Linked DNA regions of Mus musculus. The protein of the gene in region 1 binds, or shares a complex with, the protein of each later gene. Links are inferred from orthologs where the notes say so. Each region holds a gene or a part of one and is shown on either strand. Other genes may lie near its edges. The genes, in order: Fgfr1, Fgf23, Plcg2, Frs2 and Kl.

Region 1 (3,510 bases):
AACGCTCCACCTCGGGTTTACGGATTCCTAGTCCCTAAAGGCACCTTTCTGGGTCAGCCCTCTTCTGAGGAAGGATTAATCTTTCACACGCCTGCACCTTCCAACCCGTTTCCTCCCACCATGTCTCAGGTGACAGAGGGAGGTCTTTGTGGCTGGGGTACAGGGTGGACAGGCATAGAGCCAGAGTTGGTTTATAACATTCCAATGTGTCTGGTCCAGAAGTTGGAGCGAAGTCCAAAGTGGGAGATGAGGAGCCAACCAGGAGGGTAGGAAAGGGAGCGGGCCCCAGAGGCCCAGGAAGAGGAGGCGGCAAGACAGTGGTGAGCCTGCAAATCCCCCATCTACTTTCTGTTACCTGTCTGCGCAGAGGGATGCTCTTGGCCAGCTTGTGCACAGCCATCTGGCTATGGAAGTCGCTCTTCTTGGTGCCGCTCTTCATCTTATAGATGATGACAGAGCCCAACATGCAGGAGATCAGGAAGGCCCCGGTGCAGTAGATAATGATCTCCAGGTAGAGCGGTGAGGTCATCACAGCTGGTCTCTCTTCCAGGGCTGGGTCAGTGTGGACAGTGTGTCAGCAGGTCATGGGGGCTGGGGGGAAGCTTCACTCACGAGAGGTGTGCCCCATGAGAAACCCAGCACCTGCCCCTCTCCCCTGGGATCCTGGCATCAAAGGACCTTGGGACCTCTGAAGTATCCTTAAACATCCTTAAACTCAAACCCCATAGAGGGTACATACAACCTAGACTATCCTGCAAAACAAGCCCAACACTCACTCACTAACTCCAGAGCCAACTTGCATAGTTGATCACTGGACTGGAAGGGCACCAAAGACCCTGCATATATGTTGCACACACATATCATATGGAAACAGGCTGCTATGCCCTAGAGACCAGATAGTCCTCAAAGCACATGACAGAGTGGGACTCTAATGAATGCTCATCTCATGTATTACTAAACACCCGTCACCTCTGTTAGATCAGGTCAGTAAATAGCTAAAACACAGGCTGAGTAAATATAGTGTCTAAATATGTCTCTAGGTGAAAAAACATGTTTTTAAGAAACCTATTCATGGGGCTGGAGAGTTGGCTCAGCTGTTAAGAGCACTCACTGCTCTTCCAGAGGTCCTGAGTTCAAATACCAGCAACCACATGGTGGCTCACAACCACCCATAATGAGATCTGATGCCCTCTTCTGGTGTGTCTGAAAACAGCTACAGTGTACTTATATATAATAAATAAATAAATCTTAAAAAAAAAAAAAAGGAAGAAGAAGAAGAAAAGAAATCTATTCATGGTCCCACAGGATTCTTAAAAGGTAAGGAAATGGGATGGGGGCCAGGCAATCATTTTTCTATGTTCTTTTACCTCTATTTAGAATTCATACAGTGCTGGCTAGTTTTTTGTCAACTTGACACACGCTAAAGTCATCCAAGAGGAGGGAACCTCACTGGAGAAAATGCCTCCATAAGAGCAGGCTGTAGGCAGGCCTGTAGGTCATTTTCTTAATTAGTGATTGATAGGGGGAGGGCCCAGTGCATTGTGGGTGGTGCCATCCAGGTGCCCTGGGTGCTATAAGCAAGCAGGCTGAGCAAGCCAAGTTGCAGCCGGCACTCTTTCCTTCCCAAGCTGATCTCGGGGTTTCACTGCTGCCATAGTGATCCCAGCTAAGACACACACTCATCCCCACTTGCTAGTCAGTCTATCTTTCCCTTCAGCGTAAGAAACATTGTCTGCCTACTGGAACCTCCTTGTCCTGCATGCATGCAGCCTTCCTCCAACAGTCCTCCCTTTAAAACCTCAGCCAGCCGAAGTGATACCCTTGGGAGTCCTCCCAGCCCAACAAGGAAACAACAGAGCTGATGACCACAGGGAAGTATTCTGTTGGTGTCTGTCCATCATCCACCTCCCCTCCCAGCCCCGCCCCGCCCATCAACTGTCAGGAAATGAAGACTCACAGGGAGCACTGACTAAACAGACAGAGACGATGGTAGAGATAGGATGCTTCTTTGCTAGCGGCAGTGTGGGAGACTGCTGGGCAAGCAAGGTGGAAGGGAAGAGTAGAGAAGGTATGCACTTAGCGGCCACAGAAAGAGCAGCTCTCAGGCCACATGCAAGTAAGACCATACTGAGCCTGTGGTCACCAGCCCACCACCCGGCAAGGCCACAGGGTCCTTCCTTCCTGGGTAGCACACTGACACAGATCTTCTCACATGGGAGGGCAGGCCAGGAGGGATATCCTAAGAGGACCAATGGGCACTTCCAGATGTCCTGAATGGCTAAGACAGGCCTCAGGTTTGCTATCCTGGCACGTCAATCAAAGTGCAGAGCAGAATGAAGAGTGGGCCAGCAATACTCCAGGGAAGCCGTAGTAAGCTCCTATTGGCATGTATTCATGGAGGAGAGGCCCATGGCTTTCCGTGGGACTGGCTAAAGAAGACCCCATCATTCAAAGCCTCTGTACCAAATGGATGAGGGAAGATGCTGTACCCAAGGATGGAAGGAGCCTGTGCTAGAAAGCCCTGCTGCAAGGTAAACCCAGGGCTCACGCATGCATTACATTGACCAGGGAGAAAGCCAGATGTACATGTGCAAGGGGAGGCTGACGCGTCACTTCCTGAAAACCCAGGAACTCCCCCTGCATGGCCCTCAAAGCCAGAGCAGAAAAGGGTACGCAGCAGACGGGAGCCGTCCCTTTCTGCCTCTCCCCAGCCCTGTAACGGATGCGCTGCTCCCATGGCAAAAGGCAGGACCCGGAAAGGACCAGTGCACTGTATACCTTCCAGAACGGTCAACCATGCAGAGTGATGGGAGAGTCCGATAGAGTTACCCGCCAAGCACGTATACTCCCCCGCATCCTCAAAGGAGACATTCCGTAGATGAAGCACCTCCATTTCCTTGTCGGTGGTATTAACTCCAGCAGTCTAGAAGAGACGACGGAAGCAAAATGGACAAGCCCGGGACATGAGACCTCCGAGAGGCGGAGAAACGGAGGGGACAGAGGAGGGGACCAAAACCAGAAGAAGAAACGCTCCCCAGCATCTCCTTTGCAACAAGGCAAAAAAACCACACCACCAGCCAGCGAGACCTGTTAGAGGAAAACAGCGAGGCTCTGGAGGGGAGGCTCTCCGGCAGACCTGAGGAGACGACGGCTTGGTTACGACCCTTCACCAGACGCTGGCAGCCACTGGCCCAGCCAAGCATGCGGGCGGTGGGCAGCATGGAGAAATGAGGCCTGGCAGGTAGGGGGCTGTTTGGTTTTAGGTAAAGAGAATCAGTGGGTACAGACGGGACAGCAAGGAAAGAAAAGCAGCCCCCAGAGCATCCCGAAAACGCACACATGCACGCACAACGTGCAGATACTGGTCTGAGAGAGAATATCTGGCCCCTTCTTTTTGTCACTATCAAAAACTTCAGTCAGAAACATCATTCCTAACATCTCACAAGTCCGCAGACAGGCACAAGTACTTATACACAGAAACGCACACACATAGAAGAAAAAAGGGTGAGG
Region 2 (3,458 bases), on another chromosome or scaffold:
CTTACCTCCCCTCACATGTGGAAGGTCTGGTCACCAGCCGGTGGTGCTGGTGGGAGGTAAGGTAAGAGGTGGGGCTTCGTGAGAGGTCCTTAGGTCACTGGGGGTGTACAGACTAGTTGGGCCTCAGCCTCTTTTTCTGCAAGTAAGTGGCTTTCCTCTGCCACAGGTTCCCACCACAATGTGCTGATGAGCTGCCACAGACCTGAGAGCAGCTGCCTTCTGCGTTGTGGACTAGACCTTCTAAAGTGTGGCTCAAACCTTTTATCTTCATAAATTGATCAGGCCCACTCTATGTTAATAGTGAAGGAATGCTACTATGATGTGTATCTGGTTAACTGAAGATTAATACGATTTATGTCTGGTTAACTGAGATTTCAGTATGGTTATGCCAGTGTGTCTTTTTCAAATTCTTTTTCCTTTTCCTATTCTGTTTCCCCCAGATTTTCCAATTTTACTCGTGTGTCTCAACATGCATTTATGCAGTCACACAAAGAGGACAAGAGACAGAAGCTGAGAGAAGTCTTATTTTTATTTAAAACACAAGGACAGAAGTGGGGTTAGATTTTATAAATAACTATAAATATAGAGTGATAGGCAAAAATCTTTCAAATAAATAAATAAATATTGCCACATGTGAAGGGACCTAAGGAATTACAAGATGACCTTGGCTCTGCCAAAAAAGAAAGCCCCGCGGTGGTTCTGGGCTTGTGAGTTTACAGCCAGTTTGCTACTCAAGTTCTTTCTGGGGTTTCCCACGTGGTTGCCTCAGTGGGGAGGCTTCTGGTAGCTGGTGTACAGGCTAGTACCCCAATGGGAAGTGAAAGCCAGTGCGGAAAAGGGTTGGGGTTCATGGCATCTACTGCTGTGCACAGCGTTAGTACTTCAGGGGTGGAACTGGCCGAGTTGCCTGCTATTGTTGCCTGCTGTTCATCTGACAAGCAAGAGCAGTGGATCCATTTCTAAGGCTGTGTACAGGAAGACAGTGGAAAACTCAAAGCTGTCTGAAGGACTGGGCCATTACTGTGCCCTTCTGATTCTCATTTAAATAGAGGTAGACAGGAGGTGCCCTTTGTTGAAGTCGATTACCAGCTAAGGTGCAGAAGCGGGGAGAACCTTAAAGCCTGCCTAACACTTCTTGCTGTTCACTGTGAGGCTATGCTCACCCCAGGACAGCCCTGGAGTTTCTGGGACAAATGAAAGATGTCTTTGTTTAATGCCCTAAAAGTTCCCAAGAGTAGCTGCCATTTTGGGGTTAGCTCCTGCAGGAGTCCTCCCCTGACTCTACCTAGCTAATCCTGGATCCCATTTTACTTAGGAAAACAAAAACAAACTTAAAAAAAACAAAAAAACAAAAAAACAAAACAAAACAAAAAAAAAAAAACCTCTTTTTTCCCTTTCCTCTTCACAGAAACCCTAACCTAGAACAATCCGAGGTCTCAAGGACCCTTCTCCCCCACCCCACCTCCACCCCCACCCCGGGCACATTCGCTTAGAATATATTACAAGTCAACCTGCTAGCGGAGGCTTTCACTAAAAATGCCTCTTTAGAGAGAGTTCGAGCGTTTGCATTTTGCAAAACACCCTAGCAAGGTAGACTTTGCTGAGCCAGGGCAAATTCAAAAGCTACTGACTGGTCCTATCACAGAATCATTGGCGAATCATTCCTCAGGGAGGCTGAACTCTGAAATGTGTTCGGTTTAGGTGTCCTTGTCAGCCTCCCGCCAATCCAAAGCTCTTCCCAAAGAGAAGAAATGCGCGTCTTTCTTCGACTTGCCTAGTGAAGACATTAAGGTCAAGGTGCTCAAACTCAAACACCCGTGAATCCCAGAATAGTAACTAGAAGCTGCAGAGATGGCCTCTTCCCTGTGTTCAAGGCGTGAACTCTTTCCTCGTGCTAACTGATCGATTAAAATGCTAGGCAAGAGACCCGGCTAATAAAGGCCAAGTGTCTGGTTTACCTGTTAGTAAAATAAAATAAAAAGAGCTTCGTGTCTAGTTTACCTGTTGGGGTCTTTAAATCAGATTAACATTTAAAATTACATGTATGTGTGTGTGTGTGTGTGTGGATGTGTGTGTGTGTGAGTACAGATTCCCCTGGAGCTAGAATTACAGGTATTTGTGGGTGCTGAGAACTGTCTGCGCCACCTCTCCAGCCTCCCACCGTTGGCTCTTAATTCTGAATAGCGGTGCCTGGCTGGAACCTCGCAGGTGACTCTCAGGCCCATAGGGAAGGGAGAGAAGCAGACATCCTCGAGGTACCCTAGTCCTTCCTCTACGTGGGCTGAACCGACTGGAGGATGGAGGCGGACGCAGCCTGGCCTGGGGACCTAGACGAACCTGGGAAAGGGGCGACACCTATCCGCGCCTCCCGCGCCCCCGCGAGCATCTCCACGGCCTCTGCGCAGCACCCCCAGAGGATCGCTGGCTGCGGGGCCACCTTCCTCTGCGCTCGGCAGCTCGCGAGAGCAGGATACAGGCACAGGCGTGGCGCGGGGCCGCGGCTTGAGCACGTTCAGTGGGTCGCGCTCCGGTGGGTCCTCGGCGCTGCGCGTGTGGCGCCGTGGGCGAACAGTGTAGAAATGCAGCAGCGGGACCTCGTTCCTGCGAGCCAGGAACTGGGAGAAGGGCGGCGGGTTGGTGCCCGGCTGGAAGATGCGCTTGGCGCGGCCCAGGCTCACCAGGTAGTGATGCTTCTGCGACAAGTAGACGTCATAGCCATTCTCCAGCGTCCACTGGCGGAACTTGCAATTCTCTGGGCTGAAGTGAAGCTGTAAGAGAAAGGAAACACAAGAAGTTGAGGGCCGGCGCTCCGCTAGGGGGTGATGCTCAGCCCAGCTCTGCACCTCCCTCTTAGGAAAGAGCTGAACTTGGCTCAGGCTTCAGGAGAGTGGCTGCTATTAGGGCTCTGGAGGGCACTTCCGGGAGACCTTGGGCTAGCGTGCCCAGCTTGCTGGGGCAGTGCCTAGAAAGACCTGATGACGTTCTTCTTGTTCAGTGCCCGCCGCAGGGAGAACTAAACATTCCTATTCTCATTCATATTCATATCCATTCATTCTGTTTATATCTCTGTCTGTCTCTATTATCTGCAGGGAGGACTAGACTAACATTCATCTTCAACCCCTGCCCCCTCGTCCCTCTATCTCCTTCCCGGGGTTTGACTAGATTTCACCGACGCTATGAAAGTACTTTACCACTGAGATACATTCCCAGCTTTTATCTTTGCTCCTTTGTGTTTTCTTTTCTTCTTTCTTCTTTTTCTTTCTTTTTTCTCCTCCCTTCCTTCCTTTCTTCTTTCTTTCTTTTCTTTTTTCTTTCCTCTTCTTCCTTCCTTCCTTCCTTCCTTCCTTTCTTTTTTTTGAGGCAGAACCTCACAGTTATCCAAAATGGTCGTGAGTTCTGATGTGTAGAGGGAGACCTCGAACTTTCAGTTCTCCTGCCTCAGACAACCAAGTAGCTGG
Region 3 (3,510 bases), about 92 Mb from region 1:
CAGAGAGAAAGAGTAAGCTGTGACCTCTCTAAGACAAAGGAGAAATGAACTCTCCTCTCGGCTAGAGGTTGACCTCACATGAACCCCAAGAGCATACGTCACACCCAGACTAGGGCAAGTGACAGGAAGGGTTTTCAGCCCAGAATGACCCCAGGTGAACCACATGAGGTTGCAGTTGAGATGGTGCTGGATTAACAGGACAAGAGCGCCCCCCAGGGAGCCCCCTCTACCTTGACAGTGAGTGTCATCAGGATCTTCCTCTGGGACTCCAGGGGCATCGGATCATACTTCTCAGAGCGCATGCTCTCAGGCTGCAGGACGTAGCCTGTTCGCCCATTGAGCGAAAACAGCGCGTGGTTCATCTGCATGTATTTGTCTGAAAAGAGAGCCGAAGGGCGCTGTGGGGGCAGCCAGGGAACACCAGCTCCGGGCGCACATGGGCACAGGCCACGTGACCTTCCTGCACTGACTGGGGGGGGGGGGGGGAAGCGGTTCAGAAAAGACATCTGACTCCAGGGAAACATGGGGAGCGTTAGGAAAGAATCCCGCACCAGGAAACCATCTTACAGGGAGTCTGGAGAGGTGTAAGCCTTAAGGAATTAGAATCTACTGAAACTGGGTGCAGGCCAGGGGTAGAACGCTTGCTTACACCACAGGGTAAATCACAGGGTTCAAGGGACAGGTGACTCGGCAAGTAGATAAAGCCACCGACCTGAGTGTGGCCTCCAGAATCACATAAAGATAGAAGGAAAGACTCTACCAGCTGTCCTCAGACCTCCACGTGTGTTCCATGACATAGACACCCTGTTCCTCTGGCCTTCAAGTGTGGACCATGGCATAAGCACCCTGTCCTCCAACCTCCACACACGTGTGCAATCTATGTATGCCCTATTCCTCTGACCTCCACGCATGTTTCATGGCACGCATGCCCTGTCCTCTGACCATCACGTGTGGACCATGGCAAGCACACCCACACATAATCTCAGTTCACACAACAGGTAGATAGTTAGCACTATCAATAAAAAGCCAGCTTGGTGGGATACCAAGAGGACCCACCGCTTTGCAGGGAAACAAATGGCAAACATCCCTTGACTTGGTGAGAGGGGAAAGAGTTAATGTTACTCAAAGAGCAGAGCCTTGAGCAGAAATTGTAAGGACAAGTCAGTTTTCTCCCTGAGGAGCCAAGAGCAGGTGAGCTTCGTGAAACTACAGTAGTGACCTATGCTGAAGGAGTGTGCCCATGCTCTAGAGGAGGAACTGGGCAAGTGCCTCAGGACACAGGTGCCCAGTGGTCCGGGGGTTGGCTAGGGGGAGGATTCCTCAGCAGTAAGAAATGTCTGCCCCACACTGTGCACCCACTCTTGGGAACAAGAGCCACGGGTCCAGGAGGCAGTGGCATCTGCGGTAGACAGGGATGGGACCTGACCTACAGATTCCTAGAGCTGAGGTGGGTGTAGTTGTTAAATAAATAAGAGAAACGAACAAACGAATTCACAGGATGCAACGTCTAAAATTTGTGTGCGTGGGTTTTCCCAACTATATAAGAGTCTAGAGAGGGTAGGCATGAAGCCCTTGGAGAGAAAGCGCACAAAGAGGTAAGGCAGCCACTGAGAGCTTGGATCCAGTCACACCTGGATCCATCAGTCCCTCTGAGACTTACCTACCTGTTGCAGGATATTTGATCACACTGTAAGCCCCGAGATTGTCAACTGGAAAAACCTTTTCTTGTTGTGGTGTGGCTCAGCCCTAGCGCACACCTTTGACCCAAGAGCTTTGTGTAAAGAGGATTAAATTAAATCAACCATAGGTCAAGAGGCAAAGCAAGCAACCAGTTGACAGGGAGTGAACATAAGAGAAGCCAGGAGAAGGAGAAGAGGGTCTGTGAGTTGAAGGGTGTTTAAGACAACATGGAGAAGGAGCCTTTTCCTTCTGGGGCATCAGTCAGCTGGGTGCTCTCTCTGCCTCTCTGAGCTAGCAAGATGCTTTCACCCCAGCATCTTGCTCCTGAGTCTTCATTTGGTAAATCAGATGTTTGGGATGTTGTTTTAAAAACAACACTTACTAGTTCAATAAGTTATTACATTCCCTTCCTAAACCAGAATGGTCATAATACCTCTCTGTCACTCGTGGTCACCGAGCCTGCTTCAGCCATATGTCCACTGTCCCCTTTGTCAGTCCCTAGGGCCTTGTACTAACCAGCATCCAAGTTCAACCTTGACGGGCCAGCCCAGTCACTTGTTCAGAAACAATCACATCCCACTAGCTGCCCAAGTGACATTGCTGGCCATGACAGGGCCACCACCTAGCCTGGACAGACTGGCTGCCTTCATCCCTTACCTGGAGTCTGGAAATTGAGTGCCACCATCTGGGAGCCGCACAGCCACAGACGGAAGGGGTCATAGTTCGAAGAGTCAACTCTCTGTCCCTTGGGGTAGACTCGGGTCAGGCCCTTCTGATTGTATCGCAATAGATCGACAGGTTTTTGCCTGACAATGCTGTCTGCCTTCGTCTCCACAAAAGAGCGGATTTCTCGGAAGTCGGGATTTTCTGCAGAGAGGATATGATCCTTTGAATAAGAACAGCTCCTATAGGCTCAAAGATTTAAATACTTGGTCACCAGGGAGGGGCACTATTCAGAGATGTGGCCTCATTGGAGTAGGTGTGACCTTGTTGGAGGAAGTATGTCACAGGGATGAGCTTTGAGGTTTCAAGGGCCCAAGCGTGACCCCATAGCTCTCTCTGTCCTCCTGCTACCTGAGGATGCAGATGTAGACCTCTCAGGCACCTCTTTAACACCAAGTCTGCCTGCATGCTTCCCACCCTGATTACAATGGACTAAACCGCTGAACCTGTAAGCAAGTCTCCAATTAGATGTTTTACTCTGTAAGAGTTGCATGGTTATGTCTCTTCAAAGCAATAGAGCACTGACTAAGACAGAGGAGACAGTCAACCATACTTCTGGATGTGATGGCAGAAGGCCCAGGTGACAAAAAGAGACCAGAACTCTCTTGAAAAGGCCATGAGGGTTGGCAAGATGGCTCAGCAGGTAAGAACACTGACTGCTCTTCCAAAGGTCCTGAGTTCAAATCCCAGCAACCACATGGTGGCTCATAACCATCTGTAATGAGATCTGATGCCCTCTTCTGGTGTGTCAGAAGTCAGCTACAATGTACTTATGTATAATAATGAATAAATCTTTAAAAAGAAAAGACACTGAAGGGATAGGGTGGTGGCCAACTCTGTAAAGTGCCAACTATGTAAACCTGAGTTCGAGTCCACAAGTTATAAAAAAGAAAGAAAGAAAGAAAGAAAGACGAAAGAAAGAAAAAAAGAAAAGAAAGGATAGGAAAGGAGAAGAGAAGAGAAGAGAAGAGAAGAGAAGAGAAGAGAAGAGAAGAGAAGAGAAGAGAAGAGAAGAGAGCCAGGTATGGTACTGTGTAATCTCAGTATGCAGGCTTGCAGGAGGATCCCCAGAGCTCGCTGGTCAGCCAGCCTAGCCTGCTTGCTGAA
Region 4 (4,182 bases), on another chromosome or scaffold:
GGCCCACACCCGTAAGTGTTCCCGTCTCAACTGTGACACGTGACCTAAGTTATAACAAACACTTCACTTTTGTACAAGTGCAAACTTCAGATAAGCCCATCTATGTGGTTAAGGATTTACACACACTTTTTGCTTTCAGAGTCTTTTGTTGTGAACAGGGTCACCTTGCCACTCCTTTGCCACTGCAAGCATGACACCACATTCAGACAGATACTTACTTATACTGTAAACTTTTGTACAAGTATCTTACATCCCACTAGGTTCACATTCCACAGCCCAGCTTCCTCTTGGTGAGGCAGCATGCCTAGCACCGGTTCTTCGTGAAGCACTCAACAGCCCCCCCCCCTCCCATTAAGTCCCAATCCAGGGGAGGTTTAGCATTCCTAGACAGTGCAATTCAAGTCTTCACAATTTCAACACACTTGGAAAATTATCAAAACATGAATCCCAAGTTCTAATGGCTTTGGCTTTGTTTTCCCTACATGGTTCACTAAAGAGTCTGACGCATAGAAAATGCTCAATGTCATTTGAATTGACTTGAGCAATAGTTAAAAGTTATAATGCCCGAAAGTATTTGATTTTTACCAATTCCCTTTTTTTGCTTTTATAACTCCCATACTTTTTTCCCTTCAAAACACACTATAACCAGAGAACAAATACATAATCAAACCTAACTTGACTCATTTTCCAGACTTTAATTCAACATCCCAATCTTGGGCTCTGAACAACTGAGTTCTTCAAACACTAAGGGGCTACCGCATCATTCCGAGTCTAAACACTACAACTTATCTTCACTCACACTTTCCCACGGGCTAGAAAAACACCCCCTTTGTTTATTATCAACAACCTTGACAGAGATTTGAGGGGCTGGGGAGACTGCTCCCACGTCGAGTGCTTGCTGACTGAGAAAGTGAGAGAACCTGAACTGGCACCGACAGCACCTCCATTATAAACTAGATGCTGGGCCATGTGCCGATAACCAGTAGACCTGGACTGGGGACATGGGGCAAACACAGGACGGTCCCTGGGGCTTGCTGGCCAAGCAGCCCAGCCGGAAGTACAAGCTCCAGGCTCAGGAGACCCTGTCTCAAAAGGATCATCATGATCATGGTGCTGGGTAGTCTAGGTTCACCTCTGGCATTACACACACAGAGAATTTGTTTTTTAATGAAATAAACTTTTCTTTTGCATAAGACAGTATATGCAACTCGTCACTTCAAATCATTCCCCTCATTCATGATATCTTCCCTTCCAGTAGTCGAAAGAGAAAGTACGAGAGAGAGAGAGAGAGAGAGAGAGAGAGAGAGAGAGAGAGAGAGAGAAACAGTATAAATCCTAACGTAAGCATAATAAGGGCAGATAATGTCACTGGTTTCATGAAGATGACTTGTGTATATTGACACCACCACAAGGTCATTTGCAACAAATAAACTATCTGATAATAATTTAAAACTCAATAAAAGCGGAAAATAGCTCCATTATTTCCTACAAACCTTTTATCCGTAGTTTATCACCTAAACTCAGTTTACTAACAGTGCCTACAAGATTTTCTTCTCTAGGAAAGTCTCAGTTTATTGGAGTTAAACACTTCATATGCTTAAATCAACAAACACCTCTGTCCCGCTGTGGGAACACCCCCACCCCGCGTTCCCACAACTGGACTACACGAAGAACCTCCGAGGAGAAACTGAGGGAAATTATATATATATATATATATATATATATATATATATATATACATATAATATACATACATATGTGTGTGTATATATATGTGTGTGTGTATATGTGTGTGTGTGTGTGTATATACACACATATATACACATATATATAATTAGCTCAAGAAATGACAGTTCCAAGTATGAAAGTAAACAAACTGGGGTGAAAAAAAAGGATACAATTCTCCAGCCTTTTGCAGTCAACTTGTGCAAGGTCCCGACTGAAGTCTTAACAACTGTGACTTCGGATGAGCGCAGGAATTCGGAAGGCTGATTACAGAATAGCATGGTTTTTTTTTTTTTTTTAACGTCAGCAAGAACACGGGGAAACTCCTCTGAATCTACGAATCTCCTCAAATCTTTGTTTTTAAGAAGTAACTCCCAACAGTTTCAGTTTGCAAGGGAGCAAAGACCCTTCGAGGAATGGTACTGCCTCACTGACCGACCCTACGCAGGCATCCAGACCCAGTTAAGTTTCGAGCCGAGTCCAAATCGAACCTCCGGCGACCCCGACGCAAGCCCCGCAAGAGATCGCCAGCATCCACACAGGGAGCGCCCCACCCTCGGACTGACTACACCCCTGGGACACAGGATAATTACTGAGACGGGAAGAGGGGACAGATCCAAGAGGCGACGAAAGTTGGACACTGATGTCCAGTGCAGTCTGGCTGTCCCGGTCCCCAGCGTCCGAGTGCACAGACCCCACAGCGGAGGCACCGAGCCCACTTGCCCGATGCAGAGAGGGGGTCGCAGCGCCGACGGCCGGGCCCCGCTACGGAGTCCCCCCTCTGCGGGCGGCCGCGGCTCCGGGAACCCCGCTCCGGCTGCGCCCCGCCCACTCCGCGGCCCCGCATCGCGCCCCTTCCCGGCCCGCGGGCCGCGCGCGCTCCGCGGCGGCCGACGAACCCCTTCCCCGGATCCCCGACGGCTGAACCTGCAGCGGACAGCCGGGTCCGAGGCTCGCTCGCCCAGCGCAGGCCCCGCTCGGCGTCCCCGGCTACTCACCGTCGGCGCGAAGGCGCTGCGAGGGGCGCGGGGTGGCAGCCGCGGAGCTCCTCACTCTCCCCGCGACCTGACCCCCTGCTCGGAGCCTCGGCGCCTGTGTCTACAAGGCCTCTCTCCAGCCCGAACCCTAGACAAGCACTTCCGGGGGAGCGGGGGAGGGCAGGGGTTTGGCACCGGAACTGCTCCCAGGCTGGAGCTGCCAGCCCTCCCGGGAGGGGCGTGGCCTCTGCTCCGGGCGCCAGCGGACCCGCCCCCGAGCCCCGCCCCCGGGCTCCTTGCTAACCCCTGTGGTCCCGCGGGCCCCGAGCTACCGCTGGCACCCCTTATTTTAACGCCTGTTAGGATCGCTCCCTTCTACTTAATTCTACAGGGGCCCGGAGAATCTAATTTCGCCGAGCCCGGAGCATTCACCGGCTTGCCGACCGGCCGGCGGTGTTATCCTTTCTCGCTTCTGTCCCGCGTGAAAATGCAGTTGACATTTATCGAAGGAAGGCTTACGGCGTGGTAGACAGGGCATTTATTACGCGATTCGGTGGCGTTAACTCATTTAATAACCTTCAAACTCCTGGAAATTGGTGCTTTTATTCTCTGTGTCTTACAGAGAAGGAAATCGGCCAAAGTATCGGACTTTACCACATATGCTGGCTCTTGGTTTTACTTTAATTTGTGGTATGCGTAGAACTCTCATTTGCCCCAAACAAGACTTTTCAAATTATTCAAAGACGGGAGCCAAATTATTTCCCTATATGGGTCATCCTTTGCACTTTAAACAAAGGCTGAGATGATGGGCTATGCAATCTTAGTGCCAGGATCCTGTTTCTTTACATTTCACCCTGGTGTGTGTGTGTGTCGTGTTCATCTCTGGATTGTAGACGTTAAAAATAATATAATGCATAACGCAATAGTAAGCATTTCAAAGTACCCAGGACTGAGTACGTCCGCACAATTCTTATACCTAACCAGTAACTAGCAATAGAGAAGACCTGGGCACTTTTGAAACTTACCAAAGACAGACAGTATGAGAGCCTACAGAGTCAGTGTCAGGCAAAGAAGTGAGACGATCTTAAAAGATTTGCTCTGTCACAAAATCAAGAAACATCAAATATTAAAGGCAGGTTTTCAGTATGAAGCAAAGCCCCACATGGAAGAAAAGGGCTCAAACCTGACAAGCTATTTTGTTTCCAGCAGTCTAAAAAGGCTGAGGCAGGGAGAGTCCGGAGAGTTTCTAGCCAGCCTAAGCTTTACAGTGAGTTTCCAGACAAAGGTGGCCAGGACTATGAAGCAAGACTCTTGTCCAAAAAGAAGGAGAGGAGGAGGAAAAAAGGAAGAGCAAAAAAGAAAAGAGTTTCTTAGCATGCATAGTGTCTGTTAAATACTGCAGGGACAAGTGTTAAGACAATCTGCTTTGAGAAAGGCAGAGTAAAAGAAAACCCCTTATTACAAATTTAAGATGCAAACA
Region 5 (4,248 bases), on another chromosome or scaffold:
CTGTCGAATCTTCCGGTAAGATGGTGACTGCAAGGCTGCATGAAGCGATTTAAAAAAAATTGCTCATTGTTATTTTTTCATTTATTGAGATATTTTAATGACACACTGAATAGAAACGAGGTGTCTTTGTCCCCACCTGGTGACTTCATATCACTAATGGTGATAATGTGTGCTTGCTGGAGTTGAGACTATTTCATCAAGTACTGGAGTAAGTTTACTGTGCTGACATTGTAGCAAGCATCTTCGAATGTAACACTTGTGGCTGTATTGACTTTCTATTTGTGTGGAATTCTGAGGAGGACATCACTCTCAGAGTGCCTGTTCTGCAAGGATGTTACTCATCCCTCTGTGGGCGGGAGGCAGCGGCTGAGTTGTACCTTACTGAGTAGGATGGTGGCATCCTTCATTTTTTCTGGGCTTCCCTTAGGGACTCATCTTAGTGTACATTTGTCCTTTGAGCTTCGAGATGTTTCCCAATGAATGGGACAAAGCCCGTGTATATGTATAGGTATAGGTGTACATTCATACATACATACATACATACACGGCGTGGGGGACAGAAGTCTCCCACCCAGCACTCCTGCCCAGAGACCCCACTTGCTAAGCCAGGGCTGGACGTCAAAACGTGGATATTCATAAGAAGGATGGCAAAGGGTGATGAACGGGATATGGTGCCATGGAAGTTGAAATGTGAGTGGTCTGGAGTTTTTCTTTCTCTTGGAAAACAACTCACAGCTACAACCTCACCAGAGAATCCAGAGGGATCTCATTAAGGAACACTGCTGATTTAAAGGGTTAAAGGGGGATAACGGGGGAGGGAAGAGAAGGGGACGACCCAGGGAAAGGAGAAACAGAAGCCTCACACAACCCATCATTCTTAGACCCACTGTGTGTTCTTGTAGGCTCTGCAGGCTGGGGTCTGAGGCAAGGCGGACTCTCGCCTTCTCTAATGGGATGGGGGACTCTCTTATCAGAAGAAAACTGCCTGAGTACTCTTAAACCTCGCAAAGTTCCACCTGAATTCCCCACCCTGCCTTCCTGCTGTGTTCAGATACAGCAAAGCTCTCCTGGGATGTTCTCTGAAAGATTCCCCTGGATAGAGGGCTCAGAATGGGAGAAAGGGGAAAGCAGGTGATTTTCCCCACTCCCCCACCCCCGAGGCGCCAAACGTTGTGCAAAGTTGGGCAGCTGTTTCTGTCCTCCAGGAACACCAGTCCCAGGAAGGCAAAGGGAGTGGACGCGGGGAGTGGGCGACGCGGGGACATCTCAGGATGGAGGCCACAGGATTGTGCGATGTGGAATAGTCTGCTCCCTGAGCTGGCTGCAGCAGGTGCTTGTTCTCCGACGTCCCTATGACCCCTGCTGTGCTCTCTCTGGGCACCCTGGCTGGCTGAGCCCCTGTCCCGCCCCCGTGCCAGGCCGGAGTGGGGGGCGGCGCCTGCTCTGGATAATCATTGCTCGTGGGGCGGCGGGAGCGGGGGTGGGCACCGCGTAGGGAGGGCGGCGGGGCGCGGGCATATAGGGGCGCGGCGCGGTGCCCTCCCGGCTCCCGCAGCATGCTAGCCCGCGCCCCTCCTCGCCGCCCGCCGCGGCTGGTGCTGCTCCGTTTGCTGTTGCTGCATCTGCTGCTGCTCGCCCTGCGCGCCCGCTGCCTGAGCGCTGAGCCGGGTCAGGGCGCGCAGACCTGGGCTCGCTTCGCGCGCGCTCCTGCCCCAGAGGCCGCTGGCCTCCTCCACGACACCTTCCCCGACGGTTTCCTCTGGGCGGTAGGCAGCGCCGCCTATCAGACCGAGGGCGGCTGGCGACAGCACGGCAAAGGCGCGTCCATCTGGGACACTTTCACCCATCACTCTGGGGCGGCCCCGTCCGACTCCCCGATCGTCGTGGCGCCGTCGGGTGCCCCGTCGCCTCCCCTGTCCTCCACTGGAGATGTGGCCAGCGATAGTTACAACAACGTCTACCGCGACACAGAGGGGCTGCGCGAACTGGGGGTCACCCACTACCGCTTCTCCATATCGTGGGCGCGGGTGCTCCCCAATGGCACCGCGGGCACTCCCAACCGCGAGGGGCTGCGCTACTACCGGCGGCTGCTGGAGCGGCTGCGGGAGCTGGGCGTGCAGCCGGTGGTTACCCTGTACCATTGGGACCTGCCACAGCGCCTGCAGGACACCTATGGCGGATGGGCCAATCGCGCCCTGGCCGACCATTTCAGGGATTATGCCGAGCTCTGCTTCCGCCACTTCGGTGGTCAGGTCAAGTACTGGATCACCATTGACAACCCCTACGTGGTGGCCTGGCACGGGTATGCCACCGGGCGCCTGGCCCCGGGCGTGAGGGGCAGCTCCAGGCTCGGGTACCTGGTTGCCCACAACCTACTTTTGGTGAGTTCGAGGGGCCAGGCAGGGGGCCACCTTGGGGGACAGAGGGCCTCGGAAGTGCCAGAGCCACTTCCAGAAATCCTTACTTGAACCCATTACGAGGTCACACAGGTCTGACACTTTGCAGGCGGAGACACCCCCCCCCCCCCAGCAGCTCTGGGGTTCTCTTCTAGAAGTGGAGTTAGAAACTGGAGCGGAATCCTGCAGCGCGTGCTTTAGGGCCCCTAGAAAAGGACACGGGGCCATTTCTCCACTGAGCAAGCGTTTCTCCCCAGGTGTTGGGAAGTCGAAGTTCCTAGAGGTAATGGCCAGCAAGATTTGTTAGAATCAGCTGCAGAGTCAGAATAAAGACGGTGAATGAAAGCAACACCCGTGTTCACGAGCTGCAAACAGGCATTGCCCGTGCAAGACCTCTGTGTTAATTCAGTAAAACCCGTCTTGCTAGTGACTCAAGGTTATCTAGTTTGGTAGCAGTGTCAAAATCCTTGAACTGTTTGGGTTTAAGCTGTGTTTTGAGGTCCCTTCTGAGGCAGGGCTGGATAGGAACTTCTTTGCCTCTATCACCATGAATTGTCATAGGTCTGAAGACAGTCCCCCCTCCCTGCCCCCCCACACAGTGCAAGATGGACATATAAACACGGGACCATCTACAGGGGGGTGTGCTTATGGCTCTTCCAACATCTGTGTTTCCACAGTGCTCTCTCTAGTTGAAGGGATTCCTCACCGATGAAGTGAGTGACCAAATACAGTCAGTGGTTCTGAACGTCCTGAAGACAGAGGCTCCTTCTAAACACTTTCTAACCAGTCGGGCACTTCAACACTCTAAGCTACAGAGCTAGGCCTGTTCTAAACACTTCTAATTAACCATAGACAATTGTGGCAGAACAGCGCTGGCCTATTGAGTCGATTCTGCGCTCTGGGTAGTGAGATATTGGCTAACTGACATTGTATGTCAGCTTCACAAAACCTGGGTTTGCTCGTGGCTTTGGTTTCATGTAGGTGTGTATTTTTATATACTGTTACTTTTACAATAGTGATTCCTAAGTGTGGTCAATATGCCCATCTTTTAAAGAAACCAACAAGCCCTGGACCAAATCAACCCAGAAGGACTGATGTAGAAAAACCATGGGGGTGGGGGCAGGTGGGTGAACTGAACCATCTTTTGAAGAAAAGACAAATTATCAGTTCCTGCCAGAGAGAGATTAGGGACAAGGATCACTCCTTGAAATTTAAATGATGCAAATTCTAGTGTCTGGAGTACATATGATAAATTCTATGTATGTGAAAGTGGGGGGTTGTAAGTCTGGTGCTCCGTAATCACTTATAGCATGAAGGATTGCATGAACTCTCTGCCGCTCCCTGTCAGTCATGCCTTTAACTTTGCCATTGTATTTCTGGGGAATTACACAAAAATGTTGCCAAACACTAACTGTCCTTTGTAGAAGTGCAGTGGACTTTGTAGCCACAAGACATTAGCAACTGGCAGGCACGTGGCTTATTTTTGCTGGTGCTGCGCTTGAAACCCGAGTTACTGTAAAATATTAATTTTGCTTTTTTAATTCCTCTCGGTTTAGAATTTAGCCAGCCCATTAAATTATTTAGAAGTAAAGCATCACAAACGAATGCCACTGCGAACGATCCTTTTCTTTTGCTCTGGGTGCTGATCGTTGGTGTTTGTGTGACGGGGTTGAGGAGTTCTTACTTTATCTGAAAAAGTCAAGATGTGCAGATTTTGGAAACCGGCGCTTTTGGTTTCGATACTGGTTGTTTTGGGAAGAGCTGGGGGCCGCTGAGCCCTTTGAGTATTAGTTTGCATCCCAGAGTGGAATGCTGGGAAACCAACCCTTTTCCCCTGCTCTGAGACTGATCT

What was found.
Region 2: the proteins of Fgfr1 (region 1) and Fgf23 are in contact, whole or in part, in a cryo-EM structure (PDB 7YSH), measured with the Homo sapiens proteins. The link is inferred for Mus musculus from reciprocal best matches to the Homo sapiens genes FGFR1 and FGF23. Residues at the interface, in NP_075598.2 of Homo sapiens: Glu159, Lys160, Glu162, Lys163, Lys164, Leu165, His166, Ala167, Val168, Pro169, Lys172, Gln244, Asp246, Val248, Glu249, Arg250, Ser251, Pro252, Val279, Tyr280, Ser281, Asp282, Pro283, Gln284, Pro285, His286, Ile287, Ala314, Gly315, Val316; in NP_065689.1 of Homo sapiens: Leu31, Leu32, Gly33, Ser34, Trp36, Gly37, Tyr43, Ala45, Thr46, Ala47, Arg48, Asn49, Ser50, His52, His66, Ile75, Arg76, Ser77, Glu78, Asp79, Ala80, Gly81, Val83, Val84, Tyr93, Phe108, His117, Gln118, Thr119, Asn122.
Region 3: the proteins of Fgfr1 (region 1) and Plcg2 are in contact, whole or in part, in a cryo-EM structure (PDB 8JQI), measured with the Homo sapiens proteins. The link is inferred for Mus musculus from reciprocal best matches to the Homo sapiens genes FGFR1 and PLCG2. Residues at the interface, in NP_075598.2 of Homo sapiens: Lys504, Asn506, His541, Lys542, Lys598, Ser602, Tyr605, Gln606, Arg609, Glu612, Tyr613, Ser616, Lys617, Lys748, Asp755, Arg756, Val758, Ser762, Gln764, Glu765, Tyr766, Leu767, Asp768, Leu769; in NP_001412678.1 of Homo sapiens: Phe528, Arg540, Thr568, Phe569, Pro570, Asn571, Phe577, His585, Cys586, Arg587, Arg589, Ser590, Thr591, Met592, Gly595, Leu601, Thr602, Asn604, Leu622, Arg623, Cys624, Ala625, Glu626, Phe627, Glu738.
Region 4: the proteins of Fgfr1 (region 1) and Frs2 are in contact, whole or in part, in an NMR structure (PDB 1XR0), measured with the Homo sapiens proteins. The link is inferred for Mus musculus from reciprocal best matches to the Homo sapiens genes FGFR1 and FRS2. Residues at the interface, in NP_075598.2 of Homo sapiens: His409, Ser410, Gln411, Met412, Ala413, Val414, His415, Lys416, Leu417, Ala418, Lys419, Ser420, Ile421, Pro422, Leu423, Arg424, Arg425, Gln426, Val427, Thr428, Val429, Ser430; in NP_001036020.1 of Homo sapiens: Asn25, Val26, Asp27, Asp28, Leu33, Leu47, Thr49, Arg50, Asp53, Ser54, Val55, Trp57, Leu60, Cys61, Leu62, Arg63, Arg64, Tyr65, Gly66, Tyr67, Asp68, Ser69, Leu71, Ser73, Phe74, Gln81, Thr82, Ile86, Phe87, Ala88.
Region 5: the proteins of Fgfr1 (region 1) and Kl are in contact, whole or in part, in a cryo-EM structure (PDB 7YSH), measured with the Homo sapiens proteins. The link is inferred for Mus musculus from reciprocal best matches to the Homo sapiens genes FGFR1 and KL. Residues at the interface, in NP_075598.2 of Homo sapiens: Asn272, Gln288, Leu290, His292, Ile293, Asn296, Gly301, Pro302, Leu305, Pro306, Tyr307, Val308, Gln309, Ile310, Leu311, Lys312, Glu322, Leu326, His327, Leu328, Arg329, Asn330, Glu334, Asp335, Thr340, Leu342, Leu349, His351; in NP_004786.2 of Homo sapiens: Ser539, Gln540, Phe541, Asp543, Leu544, Asn545, Val546, Tyr547, Leu548, Trp549, Asp550, Val551, Lys555, Arg556, Leu557, Val560, Val563, Thr565, Lys566, Arg568, Tyr571, Val573, Ala576, Glu625, Arg628.

The regions. Positions count from the first base shown.
Region 1 is NC_000074.6:25,563,753-25,567,262, reverse strand, and holds part of Fgfr1 (fibroblast growth factor receptor 1 isoform 1 precursor), read right to left. Parts: intron 2,924-3,510; coding exon 2,779-2,923; intron 553-2,778; coding exon 350-552; intron 1-349. UniProt on the Homo sapiens protein: Tyrosine-protein kinase that acts as a cell-surface receptor for fibroblast growth factors and plays an essential role in the regulation of embryonic development, cell proliferation, differentiation and migration.
Region 2 is NC_000072.6:127,079,348-127,082,805, reverse strand, and holds the end of Fgf23 (fibroblast growth factor 23 precursor), read right to left. Parts: intron 2,769-3,458; coding exon 2,328-2,768; 3' UTR 1,775-2,327; coding exon of another isoform or gene 1,640-1,774; 3' UTR 510-1,639; downstream 1-509. UniProt on the Homo sapiens protein: Regulator of phosphate homeostasis. Inhibits renal tubular phosphate transport by reducing SLC34A1 levels. Up-regulates EGR1 expression in the presence of KL. Acts directly on the parathyroid to decrease PTH secretion. Regulator of vitamin-D metabolism.
Region 3 is NC_000074.6:117,609,770-117,613,279, reverse strand, and holds part of Plcg2 (1-phosphatidylinositol 4,5-bisphosphate phosphodiesterase gamma-2), read right to left. Parts: intron 2,548-3,510; coding exon 2,338-2,547; intron 377-2,337; coding exon 231-376; intron 1-230. UniProt on the Homo sapiens protein: The production of the second messenger molecules diacylglycerol (DAG) and inositol 1,4,5-trisphosphate (IP3) is mediated by activated phosphatidylinositol-specific phospholipase C enzymes. It is a crucial enzyme in transmembrane signaling.
Region 4 is NC_000076.6:117,145,669-117,149,850, forward strand, and holds the start of Frs2 (fibroblast growth factor receptor substrate 2), read right to left. Parts: upstream 2,807-4,182; 5' UTR 2,724-2,806; intron 1-2,723. UniProt on the Homo sapiens protein: Adapter protein that links activated FGR and NGF receptors to downstream signaling pathways.
Region 5 is NC_000071.6:150,951,161-150,955,408, forward strand, and holds the start of Kl (klotho precursor), read left to right. Parts: upstream 1-1,446; 5' UTR 1,447-1,556; coding exon 1,557-2,381; intron 2,382-4,248. UniProt on the Homo sapiens protein: May have weak glycosidase activity towards glucuronylated steroids. However, it lacks essential active site Glu residues at positions 239 and 872, suggesting it may be inactive as a glycosidase in vivo.